4 linked regions of the Cricetulus griseus genome follow. The protein of the gene in region 3 purifies or fractionates together with the protein of the main gene of each other region. This does not show direct contact. Links are inferred from orthologs where the notes say so. Each region holds a gene or a part of one and is shown on either strand. Other genes may lie near its edges.

Evidence for each region.
Region 1: the proteins of Wdr59 (region 3) and Nprl3 purify together in Homo sapiens (affinity purification with western blotting; 3 studies listed by BioGRID and IntAct, with this or other methods). This does not show direct contact. The link is inferred for Cricetulus griseus from reciprocal best matches to the Homo sapiens genes WDR59 and NPRL3.
Region 2: the proteins of Wdr59 (region 3) and Sesn2 purify together in Homo sapiens (affinity purification with western blotting; 4 studies listed by BioGRID and IntAct, with this or other methods). This does not show direct contact. The link is inferred for Cricetulus griseus from reciprocal best matches to the Homo sapiens genes WDR59 and SESN2.
Region 4: the proteins of Wdr59 (region 3) and Castor1 purify together in Homo sapiens (affinity purification with mass spectrometry; 3 studies listed by BioGRID and IntAct, counting the BioPlex papers as one, with this or other methods). This does not show direct contact. The link is inferred for Cricetulus griseus from reciprocal best matches to the Homo sapiens genes WDR59 and CASTOR1.

Annotation. Positions count from the first base shown.
Region 1 is NC_048600.1:45,976,184-45,984,221, forward strand, and holds part of Nprl3 (GATOR complex protein NPRL3), read left to right. Parts: intron 1-3,802; coding exon 3,803-3,956; intron 3,957-6,001; exon of another isoform or gene 6,002-6,211; coding exon 6,212-6,293; exon of another isoform or gene 6,294-6,420; intron 6,421-8,038. UniProt on the Homo sapiens protein: As a component of the GATOR1 complex functions as an inhibitor of the amino acid-sensing branch of the mTORC1 pathway.
Region 2 is NC_048595.1:20,749,076-20,757,768, forward strand, and holds the start of Sesn2 (sestrin-2), read left to right. Parts: upstream 1-3,692; 5' UTR 3,693-4,004; coding exon 4,005-4,094; intron 4,095-8,693. UniProt on the Homo sapiens protein: Functions as an intracellular leucine sensor that negatively regulates the mTORC1 signaling pathway through the GATOR complex. In absence of leucine, binds the GATOR subcomplex GATOR2 and prevents mTORC1 signaling.
Region 3 is NC_048596.1:187,891,227-187,899,264, reverse strand, and holds part of Wdr59 (GATOR complex protein WDR59), read left to right. Parts: intron 1-745; coding exon 746-899; intron 900-995; coding exon 996-1,120; intron 1,121-3,840; coding exon 3,841-4,005; intron 4,006-5,441; coding exon 5,442-5,537; intron 5,538-5,694; coding exon 5,695-5,851; intron 5,852-6,744; coding exon 6,745-6,814; intron 6,815-8,038. UniProt on the Homo sapiens protein: As a component of the GATOR2 complex, functions as an activator of the amino acid-sensing branch of the mTORC1 signaling pathway. The GATOR2 complex indirectly activates mTORC1 through the inhibition of the GATOR1 subcomplex.
Region 4 is NW_023276807.1:100,666,995-100,673,629, reverse strand, and holds Castor1 (cytosolic arginine sensor for mTORC1 subunit 1), read left to right. Parts: upstream 1-89; 5' UTR 90-340; coding exon 341-453; intron 454-993; coding exon 994-1,064; intron 1,065-2,124; coding exon 2,125-2,312; intron 2,313-2,393; coding exon 2,394-2,526; intron 2,527-2,747; coding exon 2,748-2,871; intron 2,872-3,233; coding exon 3,234-3,347; intron 3,348-3,519; coding exon 3,520-3,602; intron 3,603-3,692; coding exon 3,693-3,787; intron 3,788-3,922; coding exon 3,923-4,000; 3' UTR 4,001-4,486; downstream 4,487-6,635. UniProt on the Homo sapiens protein: Functions as an intracellular arginine sensor within the amino acid-sensing branch of the TORC1 signaling pathway. As a homodimer or a heterodimer with CASTOR2, binds and inhibits the GATOR subcomplex GATOR2 and thereby mTORC1.

The sequences.
Region 1 (8,038 bases), on a different chromosome or scaffold from region 3:
TGCTCAGATCAGGAAGTAGGGTCTGAGGGAGGAGAGCCAGTTTCCAGGGAGTTTTTCATTGGCCCAGAGCTCAGACTGTGGGCATGACACTGACTCTTATGATGTGCAGGTGGAGCATAGCTCATTGTTTTTCCCTCCTTCTCTTCCTCCTTGAACTTTTTTGTAAAATACATACATATAACTATTTACTTTATTAATAGTAGTGATGGAATCCAGGGCCTCATGCATATTGGGCAAGCACTCTTGTTACTAAGGTACATCCCTAGTCCTGAATGTTTTCCATTTTAAAATGTACAATTTTGGGCTGGAGAGATGGCTCAGAGGTTAAGAGCACTGACTGCTCTTCCATAGGACCAGAGTTCAATTCCCAGAACTCATATGGAAACTCACAACTGTCTGTAACTCCAGTTCGAAGGGATCCAACAACCTCACACACACGAAACACCAATGCACACAAAACAAAATTAAGTAAATTTAACAAAAAAAGTAATAAAGTGTATGGTGGCACACACCTGTAGTCCCAGTGTTCGTAAGGTTGATGCAGCAGAATTGCCACAAATTTGAGGCCAGCCTATGTTACAGGATGAGATCCTAGTTTAAAAACAGGCAGATGAACATTCAGCTAGACCAGGTACATTCCTATAATCCCAGAATTTGGGGAGCTGAGGTGAGAAAAGCAGCTTCTGCTACATAGTGAGTTTGAGGTCAGTGTAGGCAAATGAAACCCTCAAAAGAGTATACAATTTTAGTCAGGCATGATGGCACATGTCTTTGTATAGTAAGCTCATGGCTTAAAACACCAAATAAGGGGCTGGAGAGATGGCTCAGAGGTTAAGAGCACTGACTGTTCTCCCAGAGGTCCTGAGTTCAATTCCCAGCAACCACATGGTGGCTCACAACCACCTTGAATAAGATTTTGTGCCCTCTGCTGGCCTGCAGGCAGAAGACTGTATACATTAGAAATAAATAAAATCTTAAAAAAAAAAAAAGAAGGAAAGAAACACTACTTTCCTTCCTTTCTTAAAAAAAACCAAAACAAACAAACAAACAAAAAACTACCAAATAATAGAGACACAGAATTTAATTATACCTAATACATTTAGAATGTAATGTTACCATGTGTCATTCACTGCTATCTAGATTCATATTTTATTCCTCTTATTAGGAAACATGAGGAGCCTGGTAGCAGTTTTTATGCCTCTGTATCTCAAAGCAAGTCCTAGGCCTCATGTCAATTTGTTTGTTTTTTATTTATTTTTATTTATGTGCATGAGTACATGGGTGTCTGTCCAAGGCCAGAAGAGGAGTCAGATCCCTTGGACCTGGAGTTACAAGCAGTTGTGAGCCACCTGGTATGCTAGGAACAGAAGTCAGGACCTCTGGAAGAGCAGCAAGTACTCTTAACTGCTGAGCCATCTTTCTGCCCTGCCCCCAGACAGGGTTTCTCTGTGTAGTTCTTGCTGTCCTAGAACTCCCTTTGTAGATAAGGCTGGGCTTGAACCCAGAGATCTGCCTGGTTTTGTTTCTTTTTTAGACATGGTCTGTGTATCCCAGACTGGCCATGAACTCTTATGCATCTGAGAATGACCTAGATCTCCTAATCCTTCTGCCTCCACCTCACAAATGCTAGGATTATAGTTTAGGCATATGCCCATGCCTGTTGTATGTCCACTTATTATCCCATTACTACAAGACTTACCTATAAAGTAACGGTTATTATCTTATGCCTTAATACCTTTTTCAATCTGATAATAATTAACCACGATAAGTTGACATTAATCATTACCTGGTCCATTAAAACTTCCTGAATGAGAACATAGTTTTCCAGTTGGCCTGTGTGAGCCATGATGCAGACCATACTCAGTGTATGTAGTGTCTCTGTATCTACTAGTCTTAGCTGTCCTGCCCATTGTCCCATCACATTTTCCACATCCAGATTTGTCTCATTGGGTAGACTTTCTGTGTCCTACAGACTGGAAGTTACTGTGGAGGTGTTATATTTGAATACAAGCTTTTGGCAGGAAGCCCCATGAGTGATGATGACATGGTCACTTTGGGGCTGCTTCCTATGTTGTACTGTGGAAGTTCACTTTGTTTGTTTGAGATAGTGTCACATAGACTGGGCTGGCCTCAAATTTCATATGTAGACTTGAACTTGATCCTTCTACCTCTGCCTCCCAAGTGCTGGCATTATAGGGATAAACTGTCACATTAGCTACAAGTATGCTCTTTGTAAGCGTTCCTATTAAAGTCTGGCATGTTGTAGTGTCAGCTTCCTCGGTGTTAGCCCATGCAAACAAGAGATACCAGATATCCCTTCAGTGTATGTCATTGAGCCTTACAGGGATTCGGGGGAGGGGGGGAGGTAAGAACCACTTTGCACAAATGGGAAACTCAAACAGTTGGTCCCCAACAGCTGATGTAGGGTGCTTTTATGCCTCAGCTAGTGGCACCTCCAGCAGAAGGTAAGATGCACCTGTGACTTCAGTCCTTTCTCAGAGGAATAACCTGTGTCTAAGATTATTTTTTCACTTCTTTTCTAGTGGAAATGTTTTTACTCAGACTCTTTCTAAATGTGTATTTTTATTTTGAGGCATTTGTGCATACTCTATAAAACAGTCCATTTAGGACATGTTCAGGGGATGCCTTAGGCCTGCAGAGTCAGTTGCAAGTTCCTTTTGTAAAGATGGGAGTTACTGAGAATATAGAAAATCTCTCCAACTCCAGGTAAACAGAGTGTTGTCTGGGTAAGATTTTAACTTAAAGGTAATAGGCACAGGGTCACCTGGAAAATACACAGGATGGGAAAACAGCATCAGAGGCCCTAATCAGTACTGCCATTTGTCCCTCTCCCTTCTAAGCCTGTACCCCAAAGTATTACTCAGCAGTCCTGGTGGCCTCTAGGAACACTGAGTCATGTTTGGCTCAGTTATCTGCTCCTTCAAGCATCTCCATAGATCCCACAGTGGCCTGCTCCACCCTAGGTCTGGGTGTGTACACCTGCTGTTTGACTGTGGTCTCTGATAGGTTCCAGAGGGATGAGGGACACTGCTAACCTGAGAACCTTCTGTGTGGTGCTTTGACCTAGTCATTGTGGGTGCACAATGGACACTGGGGGTTGGGGGGGGAGTGGTGGACATGGACCTGGAGCCTACTGGTACTCTCTGGTTAACTTGGGTCTTCTTTGCTAGGAAGAACTCATCCCTGACAGAAGTTTAGAAAACAGCACAATGCTTCTGTATTATGTGTTCTGTAACAGTATGGCCTGTTGTGAATGAATTCCTCTATACTGTAGACCAGACATGTTCATAAATGGTCAGTGCACAGCAATGATTACAGATACCTCCAAGGTTTTGCTCAGGGCAGCCTCTGTTCTGAGCTGTATGTGTTTGACTGGTTTTCTCTGCTCAGTTGCTTGTCCTTCCTGAGATGAGGACCTGTGACCCAGATCACATAACAGATGGGTGGGATCTGTGCCCTTAGCTGTCCCTAGCTTTTCTGAACAGTCCTAGCATAATGTGAATGTGTGTCCCTTATAGAGGACTCTCATAGCGTCATCTCTGCAACCCTCTAGACAGTTGTTCCCAAGACTGGAAGATGGGGTGTCAGCCAGCATTTATGTAGGTAGGCTGCAGACACACACAGGGACTTCAGGAAGGTAGTTCTATGAGGAGGAACCTAGTGGAAAGGAATGGAGAGGGCCTTTTTCATGGTCTGTGCTTTTGCTGTACACATGTATTAGCTCCTTGTAAATTGTGTGTCTCTGTATACATATTTTGGCTGTTTGGCCTCTCTCATGCAGGCCAACGCTGACCCATCAGTGATAAACTGTCTACATAACTTGTCCCGGCGCATTGCCACTGTCCTGCAGCATGAGGAGCGCCGCTGCCAGTACCTCACTCGAGAGGCTAAGCTGATCCTAGCACTTCAGGATGAGGTGTCAGCCATGGCTGACGGTAAGTGAAGCAGCCTGGTGAGCATGGGTCTGGGCTGACTGATGGCTTCTCCAGAGGACCCGCTGGTCACTATGCTTTGTTTTGAGGCAATTGCAGATAATGCTCCTAATTTGCCCTCTAGTTTCAGGACACTATTAAAGAGACCCTCTATGCAGGAAAGGCAGGCTTACTGCCTGATTGCAGGTTTGATCGCATGCATTTCTCTTTGTGGACTTGGGGTAAGCTGAGAGTACAGAGAATCTTTCTGCCTCCAAGGGCCTCTCCCATATCACAATGGAACAGTCAGAAGCTAACCAAAGCTTTGGCATTTGGTGAGCTGGACACTGGAGAGGAAGTCTTTACAACAGCTAGTAAGCAGAAACTGGCCAGAGAAGTTGTAGGATCTTCACATTGAGCTGGTCACAGGAAGGCTCTTCTCGGGGGTTTATATATGGATGGGTCTGAAATGATATCTATAGGAAATACTGCCCCCCCACACTATATAATCATCTTTCACCTAGGACAGGTGCCTCTGCCTGGCATTGGTTCTGCTAGACAGATTGCCTGGAGTGGGAAACTCAGGGAGGGGTATTTAGATCATCCTGCTGGTAAAATAGGTGATTTCCATACTTGGCTTTTAAATTGAAGAAGAATCTAACTATCCCCTAACCAGTTATAAGAAATAATCTGCTGGGTGGTGGTGGCACACGCCTTTAATCCCAGCACTCGGGAGGCAGAGGCAGTTGGATCTCTGTGAGTTCGAGATCAGCCTGGTCTACATGAGCTAGTTCCAGGACAGCCTCCAAAGCCACAGAGAAACCCTGTCTCGAAAAACCAAAAAAAACCAAAACAACAGCAACAACAAAAAAGAAATAAATAATCTTTGCTGACAGACACTGTAGTGTTTAGTGTGCCCAAAGGACCAAACATAGGAGAGAAACTGGTAACCTTGGCCTCCTTTCCCTAAGGTTAGCAGCTATAGAATAAAGAATGAAGAACAGAAGTTAGATCAAGTTAAAACAAATTAACAAAGTCCCGCCTGGTTCTAGTATATTTTCAGTAAAAATTTTACCTTTTTTCTTTGAAAATTAGCTGGGTATGGTGGCATACACTTTTTTTTTTTTTTTTTTTTTTTTTTTTTTTTTTTTTTTTTTTTTTTTTGGAGACAGTTTGCTGTGTAGCTCTGGCTATCCTGGAACTCACTCTATAGACCAGGCTGCAGGCTGGCCTAGAACTCACTGAGATCTGTCTGCCTCTGCCTCCTGAGTGCTGAGATTAAAGCTGTATACCATCACTGCCCAGCTAAGATGGTGTGTACCTTTAATACTGGCACTTAAGAGGCAAAGACCAGTGGATCTCTGAGTTCCAGGTCAGTTAGGGTTATATAGAGATACCCTGTCTCCAAAACAAAACACTTGTATTGTGGACCTGGAAATGGTTGTAGAGTGGTTGCCTAGTACATGTGAGGCTCTGGGTTCCAGCTCCAGGACCCAAAAACAAAATGACAACAAAAAAAACCAAACACTTACATTTTCTATTTTAGTTAATTATAAATATGATAGTAAACAATCCAGAAATTTTATTTCCTCTTCTTTGATGGTACTCACTTTTAATCTCAGGACTTGGGAGGAAGAGGCCGGTGGATCCCTGTGAGTTTGAGGCCTGGTCTACAGAGCTGAGTTCTAGTCCAGCCAAGGCTACAGAGTGAGGCCTTATATCAAAAGGAAAGAAACAAACCAAAACCAACAATAATCTGCTAAAAAATTAAATATTTAAAAAAACCCACATTCATTTAATTATGCATATTTTGTTAGGGATTCATGAAGATTAATAAAAGACAATTCAGTCATAAAAACAAATCTCATTAGCATACAAGTATGGGAAGAGGAGTGGGATATGGCATGGGCCTACCCAGTCACTGCAACAGAAGGTGAAGTCCAGTGAGCCAAGAGACATTCCTTCCATGGGAGGCAGTGAAATGGGTTGCTTCTGTTACTACAAGGTTGTATAGGCCAGTGACAAGTTTAAATAAAGGTATCTTATATAGAAATAATTTCACAAATCAGTGTGAGTCCACTTTTATTTTACAGGAATCTGGGATACATTGATGATGATGATGATGATGATGATTACAAGGAGTTTCTTGATGTTAGTTTAACATTGCTTTAACATTACTTATTAATGTTGAGTTTGTTCTAAAGATAATTCTTGTTCTGGCTTGTGCATGTTTTCTTGCTTTGGAAGCTGTAAATCCTTATCTGTTGTGATTCTTGTAGCAAACGAAGGTCCTCAGTCCCCGTTCCACCATATCCTGCCCAAGTGCAAGCTGGCTAGGGACCTCAAAGAAGCTTATGACAGGTAAGACGGCCATGCTTGTTGAATCTCTTCTTCCTGGGTCAGCTTTCCTAAGCCTCCAGTGCTGAAGCATTCTATAGACAATGCTGCCATAGGCTGGGTAATGCTCTGGGGTGTGTGTTGTGGAGCTCTGCTGAGACAGGGACAAGGAAGGTTAGGGAAGGGACAGCTGTGTGGTCACTCTTCAGGAAACCATCTTGGTGTCCATTTTTCAAATGGCAGCCCCTTCGTTGAGTGTTGTGTACTTAGCAGGGACTCATCACTCCAGACTCCTTTTAAAACAAGCTTGGGACTGGAGATATGGCTCAGTGGTTAAGAGCACTGACTGCTCTTCCAGAGGACCTGGGTTCAATTCCCAGCACCCATATGGTGGCTCACTACGGTCTGTAACTCCAGGATTCAGCACCCTTACACAGACATATATGCAGGGAAAACACCAATGTACACAAAATAAAAATAAAATTATTAAAGCAACAAAAACAGAAGCTTGGCCCAAGATTATACACAAAAGCCCGAAAATATTTTTCAACCATTAAAATTGACATTTTATTGAGCTTACCTACTGCCAAGTTCTTTGTCACCTTTATTGAGGTGGGCCTCATTGACAGCTCCCTCTTCACATATGAGGAAATCAAGATTCAGTGGGTAGAACTGGAGTTGACTGTGATAGTTTGTGCTCCAGGAGAGCTGGAGTTTGAGACATTGACTATATGGGGTCAGCAAGTATTGGGGACACAATGGAAGCCTCATGTTGATTTGATTATATCGGTGGCTGAACACTCTGTTAAAATGCGTGTGTGTGTGTGTGTGTGTGTGTGTGTGTGTGTGTGTGTGTGTGTCTCACTAAATGGTCTAGGTTGGTTTGAGATTGCATGTGTGTGACACTGTCTGGCTTTCTTTCTTTCTTTCTTTCTTTCTTTCTTTCTTTCTTTCTTTCTTTCTTTCTTTTTTTTTTTTTTTTTTTTTTTGACAGGGTTCCATTATATAACCCTGGCTGGTCTGGAACCAACTCACTTATGTAGACAAGGCTGGGCTACATGGCATCTAAAAAACAAAGTAAAAAACAAACCAGGGATTTCAGGTTTCTAAAGAAAAAAGAGTGGACTGGGATTGTGGTGGAAAGTTGTAGTAAGTAAGACTATATAGCTTTGTCATCTGCTAGGCAGAGTTCAGGGCTTGATGCATCACAGCGCCACCTAGTGGACCAATTTGGAGCACAGGAATTTGAGAAAGGCTATTCAAGATTCTTCTAGCCAGATACCCTGTTTGTTAGTACACAGAGTCTCACTCCTCCAGGTGAATTCCTACACCAGCCAGTCCTGGGTCCTAGAACCTGTTCTGGGGAGGCTGAGAACCACAGTTCTCTAGCAAGATGTGATAGTTGTAACCTCCTCTGTTCCCACCCCTATCCAGTATTGGCACGGTTCTGTAATTGCCCAGTAGCCCTCTTGGCCTGATTCCCCCTAAGCCTCATCCCACAAGGTCTGTGGTTGGCCTTGAGGTCTTGTTCCTCAGCAATACAAAGGTGTGACTGAGTGTACGCTGGCTGGGTAGCTGTCTCCTGACAGCAGGTTTCTGCTAGAGTCCTGAGAAAAGTCTCTCAGAGAAGACCTAAAAGACAGGAAGTTGTGGGCTTAATTGGTATAGAGCTTTGAGAGCATCTTTTCAACAGAATTGTTCTGGATTTACTATTTTAACCCAAGCCAGAGTTCTGGTATAGTTGAGTTCCCTAAGTGTCTGTGAATATA
Region 2 (8,693 bases), on a different chromosome or scaffold from region 3:
TTCAGGACTGCAATATGATTGAGGAATAAAAATAGCTTTGGCCAATCAGTGGCCTTAAAGCAGCTGATGCAACAGTCCAGAGAGTATGGCAACAGGAGGAAGAAGGAGACCTTGCCTGAACCAAAAATGCAGGGCATGGGGGAGGGGAGGAATGCATCCAACCAGTGTCACACCCCTCCCCATTCCTCACCGGGTTTGTAGCATCACTGCTGGGCTTCCAGTGCCTAGGCCAGCAACAGGCATACACTACACGGTCAAAATTAACTGTTAAATGAAAGAGGAAGGGAAAGAGCAGATTTCTCTGAGTAGAGGCAGCTCAGAGATTCTCCCCCACCTCCACACGGATTACTCTTGCTCAGATTCTAGCTGTCCTAGCCCTCTCCAAATGATACCTTCACCTTCCATAGAAGCCCTGTCACCACAATGAGCTGACACACTCATTATAGGCCACTTTACAGTTATGTTTCTTACTCCTAATTAATTTATCTGCTTTAGGCATCAATTACAAGTGCCAGCCTGCCTCTTAGACACATTCACATCCTTCTGTCATCACTGGTGTGGCAGTTTCTGCTATGGAGTCATACTGCCTTTGAACACTCTGCATATTATCAGGCCATGTGACCTCGGCCAGCACACCTCTTGAGAGCTTTGGTTTTGTCATCTGCCAAGTGGGGACATACAGCCTACTTAAGGAAGATGCATGCGGTGAGAGTTATACTGGGATAATGGATATGTGCTGGACTCTCATTGGTAGAGCTGAATAATTTTCAAAGCCTATATCTTCTCTGCCTTCATTCTACAGAAGCTGGATCACAAAAGATCATTCACTTTAGACTAGACTACTAGTGTCTTCTGATTTTCCTTCACAACATCATTGTCTTTGTAAGTGCAGCTTATAATCACATCTCTGAAGATCAGAAAGTCAAGTTCCTTTTATTTTTAGACAGGGTCCCCTGGGTGATCTGTCTCTGCCTCCTGAATGCTGGGTTTACAGGAATGTACTACTATGCCCATCTTTGTTAAAGGATTTTTTCCCCCCCAAGGCAGGGTTTCTCTGTGTATCTTTGGAGCCTGTCCTGGAACTAGCTCTTGTAGACCAGGTTGGGTCTTGAACTCACAGAGGTCTGCCTGCGTCTGCCTCCCAAGTGCTGGGATCAAAGCATGCGCCACCACTGCCCAGCTAAAGGATTATTCTTATGAAAACAGTTCATATTCATTTGAAAATAAGTAGTGGGGGCGATGGAGGGGTATTTCAACAGAGCTCTTTCTAGCATGTGTGAGACTCTGATTTGATCCCCAGCACAGAAAAAAAAGTATTAAATACACACGCCAGTGGGGTGAGAGATACAGACATAGACATGATTGCTGTCCACAGCTAAATGCAGCCAACAGAAGATGCTGTGTGCTCCAGACAATCAGTTTCACCTTTCTAAACGGAAGTGTCCTGGCTTGTGTGAGTGGCTGGTAACAGAGCCCATTAACTGGAGGGAAGCAGTAAGACTTGTAAACATGACATTGAAGTTCAGTGGGTTTGGAAGACAGGGCTAGGGAGAGGTGGAAGGTGTCGAGGACTGGGCAAGACGCCTTCCAGCAGAGCTGAAGAAGGCTTTTGGAGGAAGTGACATCTCGAAAGCCACAAACAGAATAAAGGCACTGAGTTCTCTACAGTACCTCAATGGGTAGAACTTTCAGAGAGGAGTATCGAAAAGTGGAAGCATCATGGGTGTGACAGATAAAACTGAAGAGTTAGGTTGAAACCTATCTTGGCAGGCCTTGAAGATCAACCTAGGGGTTTAGCTTCATTCTGTAGTTGATGAAATACCACTGGAATTTTTCTTTTACTCTGGCCATTAACATTATAGTCATTTTTGTTTGTGTGTCTGCGTGGTAATGGGACTCGGGATCCTAATGGAATCCTGTAACACTAAGGCCCATCTCCAGCCCACAGAGTATGTTTTTAAAATGAAAGCCGAATCTGATCTAGAGTTGTTTAGAAGAGAATTTAACCCACAGGGACATTTGGTGATCAAGGGTATGTGACTAGAAGGACATTGTGCGCAAAGCAGGAGGAAAATATGTCAAAATATGGATCCTGCCCCCAATGAGTTTCTAATCAAAAGTTTCATACAAGACAAATACACAGAAAATGATAATACAAGATAAAGTGTGAAAAGTATTGAAACGAAGAGAGGAGAGAAACGCCCAGCCCAAGTGCTTAGGAAGGGTGTGCAAACTGCCTTCTCCACAGAAGCTGGAAAAGCATTAGACCTAGTCAAAAGATCATTATTGGTATTATACATCTAAACTCAGACTATTTCAGAAGGGATCTGTAAGGACTAGTCAGCTTAGTCAGCTCTGTCCAGGACTGCTGGACCAGAGTAAAGAGAACTTAAATTGAAACAAAAAAACAGAGGCCTAAAGAAAAAAACTGAGCTGGACGTTGGTGGAGCACTCCTTTAATCCCAGCACTCGGGAGGCAGAGGCAGGCAGATCTCTGTGAGTTTGAGGCCAGCCTGGTCTCCAGAGAGAGAGTGCCAGGGGAAAAAAAAAGAAAGAAAGAAAAGAAAAGAGAAAAAACTGAAGGATGAGATTACTCGATGTGAATGGGTGAATCCAGTTTAAAGTGCTGGGGGTGGGGAGTGGGTTGGAAAAGCCAATCTCCTTGCAAAAGGAGAGGTGAGAACCAGAAGTGACAAGGGTGAGTGTCTAGAAAAAAGAGGGATAGAAACAGAAACTAAGGGAGCACCCATGTTTAGGGAGTGGAAGGGAAAGAGGAGTCAGAAGAGGAGTGGCCAGAGGGATATGTGAGAATAGACCCAGCCAAACAGCTAAGTTACAAAGTTTCCAGGAGTGCCTGGAGGGTGGAAGACTCGAGTGAAGGCATCTAGGCAGAGCAGAAGAGGGAAAATTGTAGCAATAAAGACTGAGATTAAATTTGAGATTACCAAAGGTGTTTTTGTTGTTGGTTTTTTTTTTTTTTTTTTTTTTTTTGCTGTTTTTTTTGTTTTTCGAGACAGGGTTTCTCTGTGTAGTTTAGGAGACTATCCTGGCACTCACTCTGGAGACCAGGCTGGCCTGGAACTCACAGAGATCCACCTGCCTCTGCCTCTGGAGTGCTGAGATTAAAGGCATGTGTCACCAACGCCCAGCCGACCAAAGGTGTTTTTCAAGGAGGGCTTTTCCAGTGCTTCTGACCGTGCAGATCTCTCAAGACCTGAGGGGACAAGGTGGTGGATCTTGGCCTTCAAATGTGCGGTATTTGATCTATAATTAGAACAACTGGATGTGTTAGGGCTATCTGCAACCTTAATCAGTCACTCCAGGAACTGGAAAGCTGAAGAACTTACTCGGAAGGGATTTCACACCTGGCTGTTTGGCCCAGCCCGGTGAAGTCCCATTTCATCACGCAGCCCTAATGACTCCCTGGGCTGTCACTCTCATCTGGTATTGCCAGAGGTCTGACTACCCCTTCTTGCAAAAGTTTGCAGCATCTGTGTGAGGTCAACTACAGCTCCCAGAGTTCCCAGGTGCTTCTCGATGCTGATTGGCGAGACGGTTGGCTCCGGAGGGGGGTGTCGGCCCCGCCTCCCCGGGAAACAGGCATCTGATTGGCTGCTCCGTGGGGCTCTTTTGTCCCCGCCCTCCTCCAGGGACCGCAGCGGGCTGACAGAGCCCGGCGAGCGCTGGCAGTTCTGCGGTGGGGATGCTGAGGAGCGCCGGCTTTGCGAGCAGCGCTGGCCACTGCGGACTTCCGAGGCACTCCGGGCCGTGAGAACCCCTGCTGCGTGACCAACCCCAGGCCTCCTAGGCCGGCCGCAGTTCCCCAAGCCGGGCTGGAAGGAGTGTCCGGCGTGGTAGCGCCGGTTCTCGGTATCCCGAGAGACACCCCGGGGTTCTCGAGCTTCCCCGGCGACCCCTAGCCCCGGCCTCCTGCGAGCGCTCGCCCCAGACCCCCTCGGGTGCCCCAGGCGCGGACGACCCGCGGCTGGGTCCTGGCGCACACCATGATCGTTGCGGACTCCGAGTGCCGTGCGGAGATCAAGGGCTACCTGCCGTTCGCCAGGGGCGGCGTCGCGGGCCCCGGGACCCGAGAGGTAAGCAGCAGTCGGGCGACACTGCTCTTCTCCAGCCACAGCAGAGCTTGGGGCTGTCCCGACCTAAGTCTGGAGCGGCCCCCGTGCTTAGGGTCTGGGAGCACGTAAGCCGGGACTAGGGTTGCATCAACTGCAGCCTCCTGTCTCTCTTCCCTCTCCTTGCCCTCCCCCCCCACCCAGCGGGGGAGGGGGCTGCGGAGCCCTCCCGGGGTCCTTCGGACTCCTGGCCAATGAGAAGGGACGCCTCCTCGTGGCTCCCCGGGTTTGTGCTCTGGTGGAGCGATCGTCTTCAAGTCCAGGCAAATCCCGGCCGGAGAGACCCGACCACTCCTCCTCCCCGCCCCCTTCCGCAGATTCCCTTCCTTTGGGTGGGGGCAGGCGAGCCCGGAGCTCTTTCTAGGATCGTTTTGTGCACCGATCGAGAAAGGAAGGGCCACCTGGGACTGGCCAGCAAAGATCGATTCCCCAGTCCCCACCTGCACCCCTGATCTGAAAATTGCCCAGAGTGCTTTAGGGGTTTGGTTGGCCGTTTGATCCTCGGCGGCAGCGGCTAGAGCTAGGGGAGAAAGCGGATAACCCTTGGTACACTCCCGAAGACTAACAAGTCTCGGGCTGCTCCCTTTTAAAATGTTCTAGGGTCCTCAAAGTTTGCTCGGAGACTAGAGGGACTTTGCAGGGAGGCAAGGTATAATGCTGTTTTAAAGCCCCCCCCTTTCCTTCCAGCAGCCTCGGCAATGAACGCTGTTTATTCTTTATGGAGCGCCTACTGTATGCCATGGTACAGGTTTTGTCTAAGACGGCAAATACAAGCTGTAGTGTAGCCCCATTTTACAGAATGAGAAAATTGAGAGCCTAAAGGGCTGAGAGAGAGGCTTCTTTCACTTAACCCTCATTCTTTGGCCTGTGTATGTGTAGGATTTTGGAGAATGCTTGATACGACAGAAGATATTGCTCTTTTTTTTTTTTTTCTAAGCCTAGAACAGTGGAAGGTGTATTGCCAGAGCTGGTGTATTGACAGACCAGTCTTGAGATGTGTGCATGACCCTAAGAAAATCCCTGTCCATGTCTGAGGAATGTCATTTCTGGAGGTTCTCCATCCAGTGGTCGATGGTTTCTTCGAATGATTTAGGAATCTGTGTAAAGAAACAACCCCACGGTTCTGCCTATTCTTTTCTGGTCACTTTTGTCTGTTTGCTTTGTGGACAATGTTGTCCATGAGAACACCTGAGCATTGGGGTGAGTGCTGGATTCTGATCCCACCCTCCACTTTCTTACTGGGTTATCTTGGTTAAGTGATCACTTGATTGCAGTCTCTTGCATAGGGATTTGATGGTATCTTTAAAAGATTATTGGAGAAATTAAAATACAAGCACAGGGCCTGATCTACAAGAGCTAGTTCCAGGACAGGCTCCAAAGCTACACAGAGAAACCCTGTCTCAAATAAACCAAAATAAATAAATAAATAATAATAATGCAAGCAAAGGCCTGAAGCTGTGTGCCTGGAACATATTTATTGCAGGGAACATGCCACTGCATTAAAATGCTAGCTTCTGTCACATTGGCTTAGCAGACATCCCCTCCCTACCCCGAGTGCCTCTCAAGAGACTTCCTGAGTCTATTCTCTGATGCCTGAGGGGGAGAGCCATTGCATGTCTTCTCTCCACAGTGCCTGGTAGGGAAGAAAATCTCAGGTGGTCAGGGAGATGGGGTGCCTTAGAGGAAGCCTCTTCCAATCCCACCATTTTGAGACAGGATCTCACTCTCTAGTACAGTCTCTTGCTGACCTTGTGACCATCTTCCCACCTCAGCCTCCTGAGTGCTGGGATTACAGGTGTCCCTCAACACTGCATTTAAGAAAGTCACTTTACAGTATTGGAGTAAGCTGGTAATGCTTGCAACATTCTATATCTTCTACTCCCTCAAGAAAAGACGATCTGCACACCTTTAATCCCAGCACTTGGGAGGCAAAGGCAGGTGGATCTCTGAATGCAAGGCCAGTCGGGGCTGCAGAGCCAGTTCCAGGACAACCAGGGCTACAAAGAGAAACTGTCTTCAAAAACCAAAATAGACAAATAAATAAATAAATAAATAAATAAATAAATAAATAAATAAAAGAGCCGGGCACTGGTGGTGCACAACTTTAATCCCAGCACTTCCAGAGGCAGAGACAGGTGGATCTCCATGAGTTCAAGGCCAGCCTGGTCTATAGAGCAAGTGCCAGGAGAGGCTCCAAAGCTATACAGAGAAACTCTGTCTTAAAAAAAATAAAAAATAAATAAATGAGAAAACATGTCCTTAAAGGTGTCTGCTTTAAGTAGAATCCTGCGAAGACAGGGTACCCATTTTCCAGAATGTAGTCCCCAAGACTGAGGAGGGCCAGATGGATAGTTCTTTCAGACCCACCTTCAGAGTGTCAAGCCTTCAGATATGCCTGTCTCCAAAAAATTCCAAGGGGCTGACTTTTGTGTTGGGTGGTATGTTTTCAAAACCATATTGGATTCTAGAATAGCTTCCTCAAAGAGTCACTTCCTCAGAAAAGCTTTTCTTTCCCCACCAGATACTGTTTCTGGTCCCTTCTCCATTGTGAGCTAGCTCCACATAAGCTGGGCCTTTCTGCCTTACTTTCCTGAACCAGTGACCCTGCAGGGCTCACCTTTCTCTGTGACTAAGTGCTTAACTAAACCCTTGTGGACTGTTGAGGCTCTGAAACCCCACATTCACTGTGCCAGGCCAGAGCTTTGGTCCCTTGTCTCTAAAGAGGGGACAACAAGTTCTGTTTTTCTCGGGGTGGCTGGGAGGAAATGAGGTGCTTGTGAGGTCAAACATGTAAGGATTTTAGCTTGGGGCCCCGTCCATTCTGTCTGCCTCTCTGCTGGTGCTGCTGCTATGTCTTCACCTCAGCCGGAAACCCGGGCTCCTATCTGGATTCAGCTGACAGATAGTGGGCAGTGCCAGACCTTCCCAGCTGGCAGAATGATTTAGCAGGGGTCTCTAGCTGAGTCCTGGGGCTGGCAGACTCCAGAGAACGAGAACAAAAGCTGGGCTACTCAGAGGGGCCAATGCAGCTAGTGAATAGTACTCTGAAAGTCAGTTTATGCTGGGTTTAAATGACCAGGTCTGGTGCCATTTCCAGAAATTTAGGTTAGAGTGGAAAGGGCCTTGGCCAGGCCAGGCATTTCTGGGCTCAAATTGCACTTTAAACACTTGTTAGTTGATTTTTAGACATTTAATTGACTCCCTTATGCAAAATAATCCCCACAACATAGAAACTGATAAGGATCAGATGTAAATGGAGCAGGAGCTCTTGGGTTTAACTCAAAAGTTACTGTCTAGCAAGCGCTTGAATTAGGAGCCTAGCTGTGTTCCCTGAGGCAGGTAGTCCTTTTTACCATTCAATGGTCTAAAGATCCCCTAGTGAGTCTTCCCAGTGAGCCGTGTGACTTCATTTTTCGTTGGCCCTCTGTTGCCTCATCTGACAAAATTTAGTGCTGGTAACTCCAGGCACGATGGCACACATCTGTAGTCCCAGAATTTAGGAGTTTTGCCCTGAGTTCAAAGTTGCAAAATTAGTTCCACCCCTGCCTCCCTGTGCTACAAAGTGAGACCTTGTCTCAAAACAACAAAACAATTTAGAACTAGTGTGGTGTAGAGGCATAAAAGTTGAAAGTTTTAATCCCGACTGGCTACATATCGAAACTTAGTCTCAAAAAATTAACTAAGCTAAATTCAAATTAAGCAAAAATTCAAGATTTTTGTTGTTGTAGTCACATGTCAAGTGTCTGGGCATGAAGAACCACTAGGGACCAGCATGTGTATGAGGCAGTGCAGACGCAAAACATTGCCCATGTAAAAAGTTCTATTCATACTCTTTTTTTTTTTTTTAATTTAGGAAAATGTCCCACAGACTTGCCTATGGGCCAATCTGGTAGAGACATTTTCTTCCTCTTTTTAAAAATAATTTATTATTTTTATTTCATGTGCATTTGTGTTTTGCTCCAGATATGTCTGTTTGAAGATGTCAGATCCCTTGAAACTGGAGTTACAGGCAATTATGAACTGCCATGAGGCTGCTGGGAATTGAACCTCAGGTCCTCTGGAAGAGCAACCAGTGCTCTTAACTGCTGAGCCATCTCTGCAGCCCCTGAACTCTTTTTTTTTTTTTTTTTTTTTTTTTTGAGTTATTTTGTTGAGCTGGGCAGTGGCGGTACATGTTTTTAATTCCAGGCAGAGGAAGGCTCTGTGAGTTCAAGGCTATCCTGGTCTACTGAGGGAGTTCCAGGACAGCTTAGGCTGTTACACAGAGAAACTCTATCTCAAAACAAAACAAAAGCTATTTTCTTTTTAATTTTATGTTTGTTTGTATGTATGTATATATATATATATATGTGTGTGTGCGTTGTGGGGGTGTGCATGTGTGGATATGTGCACATGTGTGCAGGTGCCCACTGAAGCCAGAAGGGGAAGTTGAACTGCCTGGTGCCAGAGGCAGCAATGTAGATGCTGGGAACTAAATTTGGGTCCTCCATAAGAGGAGCAAATGGTCTTAACCACTAAACCATCATCACTTCAGTCCCAAAAGTTCTACTGGACTAATGTACC
Region 3 (8,038 bases):
TCCATCAGTGTCACCTTCTCTATGACGTTCCTTCCACTGTTTCCATATATGAGCATTTGTTTTTTACATAAATGGAAGCGGTACCTGGTATGTTGCTCTTCTTCTCATCCAGTGGCTGAATCCCTTGATGGTGAGAAACACAGCTCTTTGGTGTTTCATTCCCGCCAGCATTTCCTACACCAGCTCCTCCAGGACCAATGGGAAATGCTGGGAGAAATTTATAGCACTGCTTGGTCTAAACTCACCTGAGCACTTTGGTTAAGTCCTATTATCTTATGACTTTTTATTTAAATCTGTATTTTCTAGAACATACCATTTGGTCCAAATGCTTAAGGTTATGGTATTTTTGTTTGTGAGTTAGCTGAATAATTCCATTAAGACTTGGAATTTGAGTTGATTTTTTTTTCCTTAGCATTTTAACTCTACTCATGATGTAAAATGTCTAGAGTAGAGTAATAGAGGAGTATATTATCCTTTGTATTTAACCAGAGAATGTTGGTGGTGGGTAAAATATATTTTGATTATATCAGTTCTTAGCTGATACATCCCTATTCTTTATGATTCCCATTTTTTAATACTGAACTCTTTAGCTAGACATAGTGACCATTTCCATTACTTCTCTAGCTCTGCACCTTTACCCTTATGTTTTGTTGTTTTGGTTTTTGGTGCTGCTGTCAATCAAACCTAGGCAAGCACTTTAACACGGAGACACATTCTCCATCCCACCCTCTGCCCTTGCTTTCAGCTCTGTGCCAATGACATACTGGATGGTGTTGATGAGTTCATTGAGAGCATTTCTCTTCTCCCGGAACCAGAGAAGACCCTACACACTCAAGACACAGATCACCAGCCCAACTCAAGCCACGGAGAAGAAGATGGTAATGCAACCGATATCCTAGGTGAGTGGTCCCACTATGTATCCCAGAGTTACATGGCAGATTCCCCAGAACTCTCATTTTCTAAACATTCCCAATATTGACTGTCTCTCCTGGTAGCCTTAAAGGAAGATCCTCCCAGCAGTTTGCTGGAAGAGAGGAAATCAGACCAACTAGGCCTGCCTCAGACTCTGCAGCAGGAATTCTCCTTGATCAATGTGCAAATCCGGAATGTCAATGTGGAGGTAAGTCCCAGTAATGAACTGGACTTCATGCTTGTGGACGGGTTGTGTGGGAGTATGGGTCTGTTGGAGCTGGAGTTAGAGGCAGTTGTGAGCTGCCCAACACAGCTGCTGGGAACTGAACTTTGACCCCGTGGGAAAACAGGAAGTGTGCGTAACTGCTGAGACATCGCTCTAGTCCCAGGCTTCTTTCTTAATTCCTACGTTTTCTAAAGAAATAGCTGTTTCCCAAATGCAGACACCTTTGAAGGTCATGTGCCATGGCATTCCCTCAGCATCTCTCTAGCCCCTTGCTTTACTGTGTGTGATGAGGTTTGCTCTGGGAAGGCTTACTGATTGACAGGATTATGGGGGAGGCTAATGGCAGAGCTGAATTTGGATCTGGATTTCCCAAATCTCATGCTATTGTACTGTGCTTTTCCACCTTCCCTTTATGAGCTAGTTTCCTTTGATGTAAATTCAGAGTAAGAAGGTGACCTAAGTCTCTTGGTTCACTTAGCACTTGAAACCGACTTGGGCCAGAAGGTTATTCTTCGGTGACAGGGTCCTGAGGATTACATGGCCAAGAGGTGAGACGATGAAGAAGACAGAAATCTGGGATCAGGAGGTCTTGCACAAGCTATGTCTTATGCCAAGCAAACTTACTAAGAAGTACAAAATCTTATATACTGTTTCCAGGGGGATAAATGGGACGACGCCAGCAGAAGTTATCATACAATGGGACAAAGTCAGCAAGATGCTAATCAAGCAGTGTTGCACAAAGAGAACACAGGGTATTGCAAGTACATCACAGACTGACCACACAGCAGCCCAAAATCCTAACTCATTCAGGGTCCAGGGCTCAGCCCCAGACTAGTCTGCCCCTTGGCAAGGACACAAAACTAGGCTCCTTTTGTGGTTTCATCAGAGCCTCTGAGAAGCCTTGGGTTGGCCTGGCTCTCAATATGGAACTCACTCTCTCTCTCTCTCTCTCTCTCTCTCTCTCTCTCTCTCTCTCTCTCTCTCTCTGTGTGTGTGTGTGTGTGTGTGTGTGTGTGTATTTGTGTATTTCAAAATTGCTTGCTTCAGAGAACCGAGTGTCACTCCAGGAAGAGATTTTAAAGCTTTGCTAATTTTGCTTTTGCTCAGAGTTATTTCACTATAGACAGATAAGCACTGCAGTGCTGTGATTTGCTTGGTCTTTGATGCCATTTTGTGATGTGAAGTGTCACTCTGCTTTACAGATGAGGGAATGGAGACAAGGTGCAAAACTACTGTTTAGTGGGAAGAGATAATACTTGTTTTTGATTTTGATTTTTAAAATCTTAATTTTTAAAAATTTTGTGTGTATAGGTATTTTGTCTGCATGTATGTCTGTATACTACTTGTTAGCAGTGCCTGCAGAGGTCAGAATAGGACACTAGATCCCTGGAAACTGGAGTTACAGACAACTGTGAGCTGCCATGTGGGTGCTGAGAATTGAACCTGGGTCCTTTGGAAAAGCAGCTAGTGCTCTTAACCACTGAGTCATCTCTCCAGACCCCTAATGATAATATTTAGATTGAATTGAATTTAGTTGCATAATTCAAGTTTCTCAATTTCCCATGGGTTTGGCTCTTTTCATTGTACTTCAGCTACATTCTCTAGTTGGCCATATTGGAAATCATCAGAGCTAAAGGCTAGTGTAATTGCCTATCTGTATCAACTTAGCCTATGCTTCGGTTGTCCCAGTTGAGAACAGTACCACTACTGGTTTTAGAAAGAGGCCTTGATTCCAGAGTTGTGCAGCTTTCACCTGCACAATGTTCTAATTCTAGAACATTCCCATCACCCTAAAAAACAAAACAAAACAAAATTCTGTAACCAGTAAAGTGTGATGCCACATTTCAGTAATCCCAACACTCAGGAAAGATCATGAGTTCAAGGTTAGCCTTGGATGCATAACAAATTCCAGGCCAGCCTGGGGCACATAGTAAGAACCTGTCTCAACAAATGAATGAATGAGTGAATGAAATAGATAAATAAACAAATGAAGCAACTCCTTTGTGCATCTGTCAGGTAGATCAGAGCTTAAGAGTACTGGCTACTCTTTCATAGGACCCAAGTTTGATTCCCAGCACCACATGGTAGCTCACAACTGTCTGTAACTCTTTTCAGGGAATCTGACACCCTCCCTGGCCTTTGTGGGTACTGCAAGCATGTAGCATGCCCTCATACAGATAAATAGAAAGTCTTTAAAAAGAACATCTTCCACTACATTCTGTTAATAATCATTAGGTGTGAAAGAATTCCTTTTGTGGTTATTAAAAAAAATCTCAAATTTCTAAATCTGTAAGAATAAAACTTTTTAAAATGCAAAATGAATGTCTTTACCTGTTACATATGTATAAAATTAAAAAGTCATATATATACATTTATATATATGAATTTATTTAAATCAGTATTAAAACTTAAAAATCTGTTCTGAAAATAAATTATATTTCGAACTATTTGTTTTTGTAGGCACTTTCCTTTTATTCAGTTACTAGAAACATGAGCATTTATGCTGATTGTTAAAATCCATGTGTATTCTGCTGAGGGTGTGGCTTGGGGTAGAGTAGTACTTGTGTTGCCTGTTCAAGGCCCTGGGTCCAAGGCTCAGCACTGCAAATAAAATACAGCACAGTATGATAGGGTGAATGTGTTTCATCTCTGAAGACCCTTTGCAGTTTGTCTCCAAAGCACCTTGCACTTGTGTTTTACAGATGGACGCTGCAGACAGGAGCTGCACAGTATCTGTGCATTGTAGCAACCACCGTGTCAAGATGCTGGTGACGTTCCCAGCACAGTACCCCAACAATGCTGCTCCTTCTTTCCAGTTCATTAACCCTACCACCATCACATCTGCCGTGAAAGCCAAGCTGCTGAAGGTGAGTGAGGCTGAGCTCCCAGCTTCAAAGTCTCTATGCGCTGTAGCAGGCATTGGTGAGGTTGAGCACAAACCTGCATCAGTAAGATTTAGAAGTTGCCTGTTCCCCAGATGCTGCAGTATCTGCTGAATAGCTACTGTCTTGGCAATCAGCAGTAGGACAGGGTTCTTAACCTGCTTTTTTGAGGGGGTGGGTATGGATGTCCTGTGGAATTCTAATAAAAAACTGTTGATTTTTCTTCAGAAAAACATTTACAAATGTTGGATCTGAAGGATTTCATAAATATCGAATGCAAATATATTGACTATAAGTAACGAGTTTGCAAATTTAGAGCTTTGCATTAGTCTGAGGTTGTGAACTCTGCAAGGCAGTTTTTTTCACTTATCTAGGAAGAATAGGCAAGATATATTTTGAAGCTAAAAATATTTGAAAATGTACAGTCATTTAAAAATCTCAGGAAAAGGGGCTGGAGAGATGGCTCATAGGTTAAGAGTACTAGCTGTTCTTCCAGAGGTCCTGAGTTCAATTCCCAGCAATCACATGGTGGCTCACGACCATCTATAATGAGATCTGGTTCCCTCTTCTGGTGTGAAGGCACACATGCTGGAGGAACACTGAATACATAATAAATAAATCTTAAAAAAAGAAATCTCAGAAAAGAAGCCCTGTGGGTTCAGAAACTGATGTGTGTAAGATAATTAATTTTAATTGTACTTTTATTTAACTCAGCACATCTAAAATAATATTATCATGTCAACATGCAATTAGTGAAAATGAGCCAGACACAGTGATAACAGTCCTGTAAGCCATGCACCTAGCATGAGAAGCAGGAGGATCAGGAGTTCAAGGTTATCTTCAGCTACATAGCAAGTTTGAGGCCAGCCTGGGCTACATGAGTCCTTGGGTCAACCCCCAAAACGAGATACTTTACCCTTCTGTGAGTTTGGAGGATGCACATTTCCTGTGTTCCCTGCAGAGAGCAACAGCAGTGATCCAGTTCATGTGCCTGTCTTAATGTGGGTGTCAGTTCATATCTCTAGCATGTACCTTAAAATGTCAGGGGTCACCGTTTTAGTGGATGAAAACACAGCAAATGTATTATAACTTTTGCTGAATAGAAATCTTTGCCCTGGCTTCTGTCACTCAGAGCAGTTTCTCTCCAGCCCAGTGATGATGTTTCCAAAACAATTAGATTTCTCATGTGTGGAGGCAAAGCTGTGTAGACTCACTAGAAAGAAAGAATAGCCATTCTGTTCTGTCTAAGGCTCGGGAAAGTTCTTTTCTTGAGCCCTTATGGGAACCAGTAGAAGCCTCAGGCCTGACCATGTGCTAGCCTCCCAGGGCCAACATGCTTCCAGCCACTTTGCAGAATAAAGCCAAGCAGAAACATATGGACATATGATTCTCTCCCTGATGGTGTTTTGGGTCTTTTCCAGATCCTAAAGGACACTTCCCTGCAGAAAGTGAAACGCAACCAGAGCTGTTTGGAGCCCTGCCTGCGCCAGCTCGTCTCCTGCCTTGAGTCTTTCGTGGTGGGGAATGTGAACTTGTTGAGCCAAGCCATGCTTTAGTGTCTTGTCGTAGTTCTTGTCCCCGGGACCCTGGCTCCCGTTGTAGTGCTGCACCACTGTTTTGTGATGCGACTTAAAGATAGCTCGTGGGTTCTAGTGTGTTTATCTTTGATTTCAGAACCAAGAGGACAGTGCTTCTAGCAACCCATTTGCACTCCCAAACTCTGTCACGCCGCCCTTACCGACATTTGCACGGGTGACCACTGCTTATGGATCATACCAGGATGCCAATGTTCCCTTTCCTAGGACCTCTGGGGCCAGGTTCTGTGGAGCAGGTAGATCTCTCTGTTCTTTGACTCTTAACTCCGAAGAAGTGTAGCTAAGAAAGGCTTATATGCTTCATAATTATCAGTAAATGTTTGTTTTTAACTTTGTAAGAGCTCAAAACAACATATGGTATAATACTAAATTCATGTCTGTAGATGTAGCCTAGGAATGTTTACCAGGGGCCTGGAGAGATGGCCTAGCAGTACAGAGCACTCACTGCTCTTCCAGGGGACTCAAGTTCAGTTCCCAGCACCCATGTCCAGCAGCTCACAACCATCTGAACCTCCAGCTCCAGGGGATCCGACATCCTCTTTGGGTCTCAGCATGCATCTAGATGCACAGCATACACACACAGAAACACATACGTGTGCACATAAGTAAAATAAATAAGTCTTTGTAAAAAAAAGAATGTTCTCTATAATTGAAGGCTTAACTGCTTTAGTCCTGATGGACCTGAATTTGCATCTACTTAGATCCCTGATACTTTTACCTCTCCTAGATCTTGTAGACTCTCACCTTGTTCCTTTTAAGGATCAGTGTAGTCACAAGCCTTGGCAGTTTGTGGAGCTATGCCTTGCGTATACGGAAATAGAAGAAAAACCCTGCCTGGCTGGTGGTAATAATGCTTAGCATGTGTAAGACCCCATGTACAATCCCTAGTACCACCAAAAAACCTTTTTTTTTTTTTTTTTTTAAAGTACAGTCATTAACCCAGGCATAGGAGCTCATGCCTTAATCCCAATACTTACTATGCCAAGGCTGGAGGCTTGCTATGAATTCTAGTACAGCTTGGGTTACCTAGTGAGACCCTGTCTCAAAAAACAAAAGATTACCCTATCCTGCCTTGGGATTCCCATGTCCAGCTCATTGACACCACGTGCTCCTGTGTCTCCTTCATCAGGTTACCTGGTGTACTTCACAAGGCCCATGACGATGCATCGCGCAGTGTCTCCAACAGAACCTACTCCTAGGTGAGTCTGGGAGATGCTGCAGGAATCCATGTCTCTGTCTAAGTTCATGTCTGTTAATCAGTTAAATTCCTCTTACAAGATTCCTTCTTCAAAGATGGGGGTTCATTAACTTATTTCGACTGTAAGGTTAGTATCAAAGCACTGGGAAGACAGCTTGATGAAAGTGGTTGTTAAAGCAACTTTGGGCTGGGATGTCAGCCTAGAGGCAGAACATGTACAGGGGTCTGGGTCCCATCCCTACAACTAGGAGGGGAAAGAGGGAATTCTTTGTAAATGTTTTACTCCCATTGCTAAACTTTTATGTAATTTTATTATTTAATATTAAACTAAAAGAAGAAATACTATCTAATTAGTCACACAACACTAATAGGCCACTTCTGAAATCAGGATGTGCCATTTTCACAATTACGTGTTAGAAAAACTCAAATCACATTAAAGTTTTAAATAAAAAATGCAAAAGCCCTTTCTCCCTTTCTCCCCGTGCTGGGAGAGGCACTGTCACAACCAAGCATGTTCCTGCCCTTGGCACTGTTTTTCTGTGCTACTTCTCTGATGGACAAGCTAGTGGGACCGATGAGGTGTGAACTTTATAGCCAAATCACCCAAATTAGCTGGTTGATTCTTTGACTGTGGACAGTGTATCTAAACTGCTTTAGTTTTTTTTCAGCAGTCACTCAGGTAGATCTTTTAGTTGCCAGGAAAGTTAAGTAAATGGTCCTGTAAGACAGTGAGTATGCAGACTGCTGCTAAGGCTTCTCTCTGGCTTTAACACTGTACAGTAGACTTCTGGTTCTTTGGTATGGTGACCAAGATAACTTGGAAATCTTTCTGCTAGAACAGTATCATATGCAGTATGCTGAATGGATGGAATACCTGGCTGGCAAGATGGTAAAAGCACTTGCCACTAAGTCTGATGACCTGAGTTTGATCCTGGAGACACACATGGTGGAAGGAGAATAAAGGCTTACTCATTCCCTCAGATTGTCTTCTGACCTCCACATACACATGGTGGCTTGCATCCCTCCTCCCAGAAAACACAATAAAAATGTTTAAAAGAAAGGATTGAATGCCACCTGTGAGTAGATGCTATTGTTTGAGTGGGTGTTTCCAGTTTCTGCACTGGTCCCAGCAGATGAACCCTTGATGCTTAAGAACTAGGCTTAAATAACCAGGTTCCAACACCTACTCTCCAATGGATCACATGTCCTCGTGGGGACATTTTTC
Region 4 (6,635 bases), on a different chromosome or scaffold from region 3:
CACTGCCCGCAGCGGAAAGGGCGTAGCCGGGGCGTGGCCTGGAGGCCACCGAGGGGTGGGAGCAGGCAGTGATCCTCAGACTGAGGCTACAGGAATGGACAGCGGGCGAAGGCTGGGTTCGAGGGCAGCCGGCAGCGCTGGGAAAGCAGGGCTCTGGAGGAGGCGTGGTCACTTCGTAGAGGCTGTGGGGCGTGGCCGCCGGAGAGTGGGTCGCTGGCTGGGCGGGGCCGCCGCGTAGCGGGCGGCGTGGAGCCCCTCACCGCGGCTCCTTTAAGCCGGGCGCCGCCCCGCCTCCTGCCTGGGTCTAGCTGGCGGAGGGGCCGTGGCCGTGCGATCTGCGATGGAACTGCACATCCTAGAACACCGGGTGCGGGTCCTGAGTGTCGCCCGCCAGGGCCTCTGGCTCTACACCCACCCACTCATCAAACTGCTCTTCCTGCCCCATCGCAGCCGGTGCGCACCCGGGTTCAGGGGCGCAGGTCAGACGGGAGGGGGCTCCTCTGTCATTCTAGGCCAGGGGCGGAGGATTAGGGCCATCTCGAGGTAGCGGGTACCGGGTGGGGACGCTGTCGGTTCTGGCCACCATCCGGGCCGGGCCTACCCTTTCTGAGACGCCGCCTATCCGGCCCGGAGAGCTCGCCTCCCAGGGCTTGTCAAGGTGCAAACTGCCTGGGATAGGCGTGTAGTGGGGCATGCCTTCCTAGCCCTGCCTTAGCCCTTTCCCAGGCGCCTCGCGTAAAGTTTAAGAATTGTTTAGGGGAACCCAAAGCCCGACACCTCTAGGGTGTGGAATGGAGGGAAGATCTGGAGTTGGAAATCAGCCGGAGATGGGACCCAGACCACGTTGCTCCAGGGAAGGAACTGAGGCCTGAGGGCGGGTCAGGAAGGCGCCCGGCGGGGGGTCCTTTAGTACTGCTGGAACGAAGTTCGCTTGTCCTCTCCAGCCCATTCACTCCAGCCTGAAAGTCTCCCCACCCCTTCCCTCCCCACTAGGTGCAAGTTCTTCAGCCTGACGGAGACCCCGGAAGATTACACACTCATGGTGGATGAGGAGGGTTTTAAAGGTGGGAACTGGCCCCTTGCTCACCAGTAAGCCGTATTCTTACCAAGTGCAGGGATGGATCCAGCTTCCCAAGGTCTCAAAGGCATATGAGTCTGGGTTCGAATCCTCCACCCCTCACTTAAGTTTTCTCTTATGTAAGACATAGTCTTGTCAGTTTAACAGTATTTATGAGAGCTTTATAAACTTAAAGCCCAGGAAGGGCAGGGTGTGAGTCCCAGGCCAGTAAGGGGTGTGTGTGTGTGTGGGGGGGGGGTTGTCTCACAGTTTTAGTCCCCATTAAGGGGTTCCTGTAGCTGTTTTAACCCACGGACATTATTTATTCTTGGAATTCTCTCGCCAGTGAAAGCCAGATCCTCCTTTACTGGCCCGGGAAGTCTAGGAGCCTGAGGGTTGGGGAAGGAATGCAGGAGCAGGCAGCAAGCCCAGAGCAGGGTCCTGGGGCCTCCTGGCTGTGTTTGGGCGAACAACAGCCACCCTGGCCCTTGTCCCTGTTCAGCATTGGGACCTGGGAACTGACTTCTGGCTCCCATTTCTGCCTTCCTGGCCTATCCTCTGAGGCCTAGAGTCTCAAGCCAGCCACCTGGAGCTTGGCCTAACCTCCCTCCTGAAGGACTTGGTTTCCCTGTTCTGTAGGGAAATCTCTTGTCTGCAAAGGAGCAACTCCCAATCAGTAGATTGCTTGGCGCCCTCTGGTGGTTCTATGAAGCCTATTAGGCCACAGAAAAGTCCCCAGGAATATCCCATTTTGCAGATAGGAAACAGACTAAACAGGCTTGGAATCACAGTGTTTTAGGAGGCTGTGGCAAGAGGATCAGTTTGGGTTCAAGCCTAGCCTAATTTACATTTTAAGACTCTGTCTCAAAACAAACAATGAAAAGCCACTTACCTCAAGTCACACAGCAAAGGTGAAGCTGGAACTTGAACCTGATTCCGAGTTTGAGAACACCTGCAAACGAAGCAGGGCAGAAATGATAGAAGACAGCCGTGCTCTTCAGACCTCACCTGCCTTGCTGGAACTCACTAAGGCTCACACTAACCAGGCGTGTACCTCCCGCCCACAGAGCTACCCCCATCTGAGTTCCTGCAAGTGGCCGAGGCCACATGGCTGGTGATGAACGTATCATCTCACAGCGGTGCAGTGATGCAGGCTGCTGGAGTTACCAAGATTGCCCGGTCTGTCATTGCCCCACTGGCCGAGCACCACGTGTCTGTGTTGATGTTGTCCACATACCAGACAGACTTCATCCTGGTGGGTTTGGGCAGGTGTTGATACAGGGCATAAGCAGAGGAGCCTGGAGCTGTATAATGTATGTCATTTGCCTTGACCCAGGTACGGGAGCAGGACCTGTCTGTAGTGATCCACACACTGGCCCAGGAGTTCCAAATCTACCGGGAAGTAGGCGGGGAACCTGTGCCTGTTGCCAGGGATGATTCCAGCAATGGCTTTCCCCGAGCCCAGCATGGTAAGGTCTGCCCTCCAACACCCAGATTTAGGTAGGACCTTTTACAGGAGGGCTTGTCCTTGAAAGGGATAGGATGGGTATTTCAATCGGACCAGCAGATACCGTTTCTCAATGTGTGAGACATTGGGATAGGCACACCCAGGCCCTTCCCTTCCCAACCACCAGGGGTCGCCCAAGCCCAGGATTGCCTTTTCACCTTGTGGCCCATGTATCCTGAGCAGGGCCCAGCCCCACGGTGCATCCCATTCAGAGCCCGCAGAACCGATTTTGTGTTCTCACACTGGACCCCGAAACATTGCCGGCTATTGCCACCACCCTCATCGATGTCCTCTTCTACTCACACAGGTGGGCCATGCGTGCACTTTATCTCTGGCCTTACACTAGTGCTTCCTGCACTCTGACCTTTGTCTCATCCATCCCTTCTGTCACTCTGTATCCTGCTCAGTGATTAGGGTTCCTGACAGCCGGTTAACCCTCAGCCAGAGGTGTTGACAGAACCACTCCACGGCCACATACACCCCAGTCAGGCCCTCTGCCCAAGACCCTTGGTCTTTGGCAGTTAGGGTTCATCCCTCAGGAAATTAGGATTCTCTCACAAGGGCCTTCCCAGAGCCATCCATTCTGGTTTTTCCTCTGTGGTCTGGTAGTCAGGAAATGGAGAGGGTCATGTGCCTGGCAGAGCCGTTGACCTTGTCATCCCTCTCCAGTGTCCCCAAGGAGGCAGCCTCAGGTGGTCCTGAGTCAAGCTCCATCCCGTTCTTCGCTTTCTCCCTCATTGAGGGTTACATCTCCATTGTTATGGATGCAGAGACCCAGAAAAAGTATGTAACCCCTTCTTTGACCCAAGAAGGCCATAGCCCCTCAGCCAGTCTCAGGGGAGGAGGAGGGGGAGGTGGGGTGCCATGCTCGGTGGTGGGTAGGAGGACATGCCCTGGGGATCAGGGTAAATAGGGATGCATGAGTGTCCTTTCCATCACCCACCTGCCTCACCAGGTTCCCCAGTGACCTCTTGCTGACCAGTTCCTCTGGAGAGCTGTGGAGGATGGTGCGCATCGGGGGACAGCCCCTGGGTTTCGGTGAGGATCGCTTGCCCCTGTATTGGGGTTAGGGCAAGCCTATGGGTGTCCACAGCATCCACACTGAGACACCTGATCTCCAACCCTCAGATGAATGTGGGATTGTGGCCCAGATCGCGGGTCCCCTGGCGGCTGCTGACATCTCTGCCTATTACATCAGCACCTTCAACTTTGACCATGCCCTGGTGAGTGCCTGGGCTGGGCTGGAGATTCCTGCAAGGTCCCAGAGGTGGGGGGAGGAAGAAATCCCAGCTGATTTAGGGAGCTGGGCATCCCTGGCCAGATTCAGCCCTGGCATTGTATGCTGTGCTCTTACCCAGGTTCCTGAAGACGGGATCAGCAGTGTCATTGATGTACTCCAGCGAAGGCAAGAAGGCCTGGCTTCCAAAGGTCCATAGGGAACACCAGGATCCCAGCATTCTCCTGCCCTGGGCTCTAGAGACTTTTCTGAGCTCTTTCCTGAAGCTGCAGAATGAGCCCCTGATCCTGCCAAGGGACCCTGGTTCTGCATGGAACTGGCATGTGTGGGCAAGTAGGCACCTCTTGGCACAGTGGGCAGTGCTGGCTCCTAATGGCTGCCCACAAAGGACACCTTGGTGCTTGGGGCTTAGACACCCCCCTCCCCCAACCCATCACTTTCTACGTGGCCTCAGCGTTTGCACAGTCCCTGCGTGAGGCCCGAGCCATCCCTCTCTCACCTGGCTGGGTACTTCTGCCTGTGGCTTGGGTTGCCTTCCTGGCCAGGTGAGTTCCAGAAGTGCCTTCCCTTCCTGGGGCTCCCGAGGAAAAGGGTTTTCCCATCTCACTCTTATTTTTATGACTGTTTAAATAAATAAAAGACTTGCTGAGCTGGGCTCTCTGGTTCCGAGTGACAGCCAGTGTCAGGTCTTGATCTCCCAGATTTCTCCCGCCACCTTGACTTTTCAAGCAGTGTGTATCTGTGACAGATGAGCAACTAAAGCCCCCAGCCCATTTGTGCCTAAGTCACATGGTTCCCAACCAAAGCTGCTTGTCTCTAAAGTTTAGAGTCTATATTCATTCTTAGTTACTTCAGGATGACCTAGAGAGCTCTGGACACTGGGAGAAATTCCTCTGTCTCTCACCTAAAAGTCCCCTGGCTGGACACTGGGGAACCTATCCAGGAGGTCCCAAAGCATCTCTCTCCCAGGTTATTGCCTACCTTCCTATATGCCTTGCCTAAATTCTTATGTCCCTCTTATGGAGGAATCACACAGTTCATGACACTTGGTGGTCAGGCCTTTTCCTGCTGAGGTGCAAGACTAAGTGGACAGAACAGGACCCAAGAGCCCACTTGGAGCCCTCATTGCCCTCCAGTGCTATATGTGGGCACATCTGGGGCTGGGTTTTTCCATCTTGGGGCCTGCTCAGCAGGACAGGACTCCATTGCAGTGGTCAGGGCCCTACACATGTCTGGGAGGTTATCAGATACCTTCAGCTCAGACCCACCCATGCTCGGGAGGGGAAGAAGGGTGTGACTTCTGTGTACCCAGGTCATAGTGACTCCCCAGAAAAGCCAACACATGGGCTAGGCTTCTGGCAGTATGCCCACTTGGCTCTGGGGACCCCAAGGCTGGGGCCTCAGACTCAGATCCGATGAGTCTAGAGCACAGCCCGGCATGGTGAGTGAGTGGTGAGAGGCCTTGGCTAGTCCTCTTCTTCAGCCTCAGTTTCTCTGTGTCCAGGAATCAATTCCTTCTGGGACCCTGGGAGGGAGCATCTCCTTAGCATTTGTCTGTGGTGGGGAGTGGTATGGAGAAGGCCTGTCTCCTGTAATGGGGGACTACTGTAGGCTCAGACTGGGGGTACAGCCTGCACTAGAGGGAGGTCAGGACGCTCAGGGCTGCCTGTCCTATACACAGCTGGCCCTGTGCCACTTGCTTGGGAGGTTTGCCTGTGAATCACTCAGGTTTGGCTGCTTTTGTCATCCTGGCTCTCAAAAGCCTCAGGCCTCAACCAGGTCCAAACTGGCCCTCGCTGGCTCTCAGGGCTACCCAATATCTGATTCAGCCAGGGGCAAGAACCACGGCCCAGTGAGCTGCTCCGGTGCACCTCAAGGCTGGGGCCACAGGCTGCAGATGCGATGAGTCGCAGAAGCGAAGAGTTGCAGAAGCGATGACTCGAGAGCTCGTTAGGCACAGCCTAGTAAGTGTGTGTCTGTGTGTCTGCTTCTAGCTCTGTCCACATGTGACTTTGTCACTGTGGAGGGCCTTGCCTGTCAAGGCATTGGGATCCTTGGGGTCCCAGGGCTGGGGTTCTAGCCTCTAACGGGCCTTCTATGTTTCAAGGGGCCACAGATATTTGGGGGCACAGGCATAGGGCTTAGAAGGTGCCCAGGGAAGGGGCTTTCACCCCAGCCTGATGCCTCCCAGGAAGCTGGTATTCTGGGTTGGGCCTAGCAGTCTCCAGGCCTCCATGGGGGCCTCTAATCAGTGTGGTTGGCCTGGGCTGGACTTGGCAGGTCTACTCTAGAGGCAATAGAAGGTATGCTTAGGCTTCTATCATGCAGCCCAGGGTTCAGCTCTGGCTGAGATGTGGGCCTGGACAAGTGGAGATGAGACAGGAAGAAGCCTCAGCCAAGGCCGGTTTCTACTCTTTGATCTTGTCAATATACAGGAGTCCATCTCAGGTCATCCTCGAAGATAGGAACAGAAATTCCAGGTTTTTAGACCTCTGCCCTTCTCCTGTCCCAAGAGCTGCCTGGTCCTGTATGTGCCAAATTGCATCACAGTTGGGTTTTCTTTTATTTATCTATTTTTTTTTTTTTTTTTTTTTTTCTGAGACAGGGTTTCTCTGTGGCTTTGGAGGCTGTCCTGGAACTAGCTCTTGTAGACCAGGCTGGTCTCGAACTCACAGAGATCCACCTGCCTCTGCCTCCCAAGTGCTGGGATTAAAGGTGTGCACCACCAACGCCCGGCTCTTTTATTTTTTTTTTTTAAAGATTTATTTATTTTATGTCTATAAGTGTTTTGCCTGCACTTGGGGCCTAGTGCCTACAGAGGTTAGAAGAGGGCA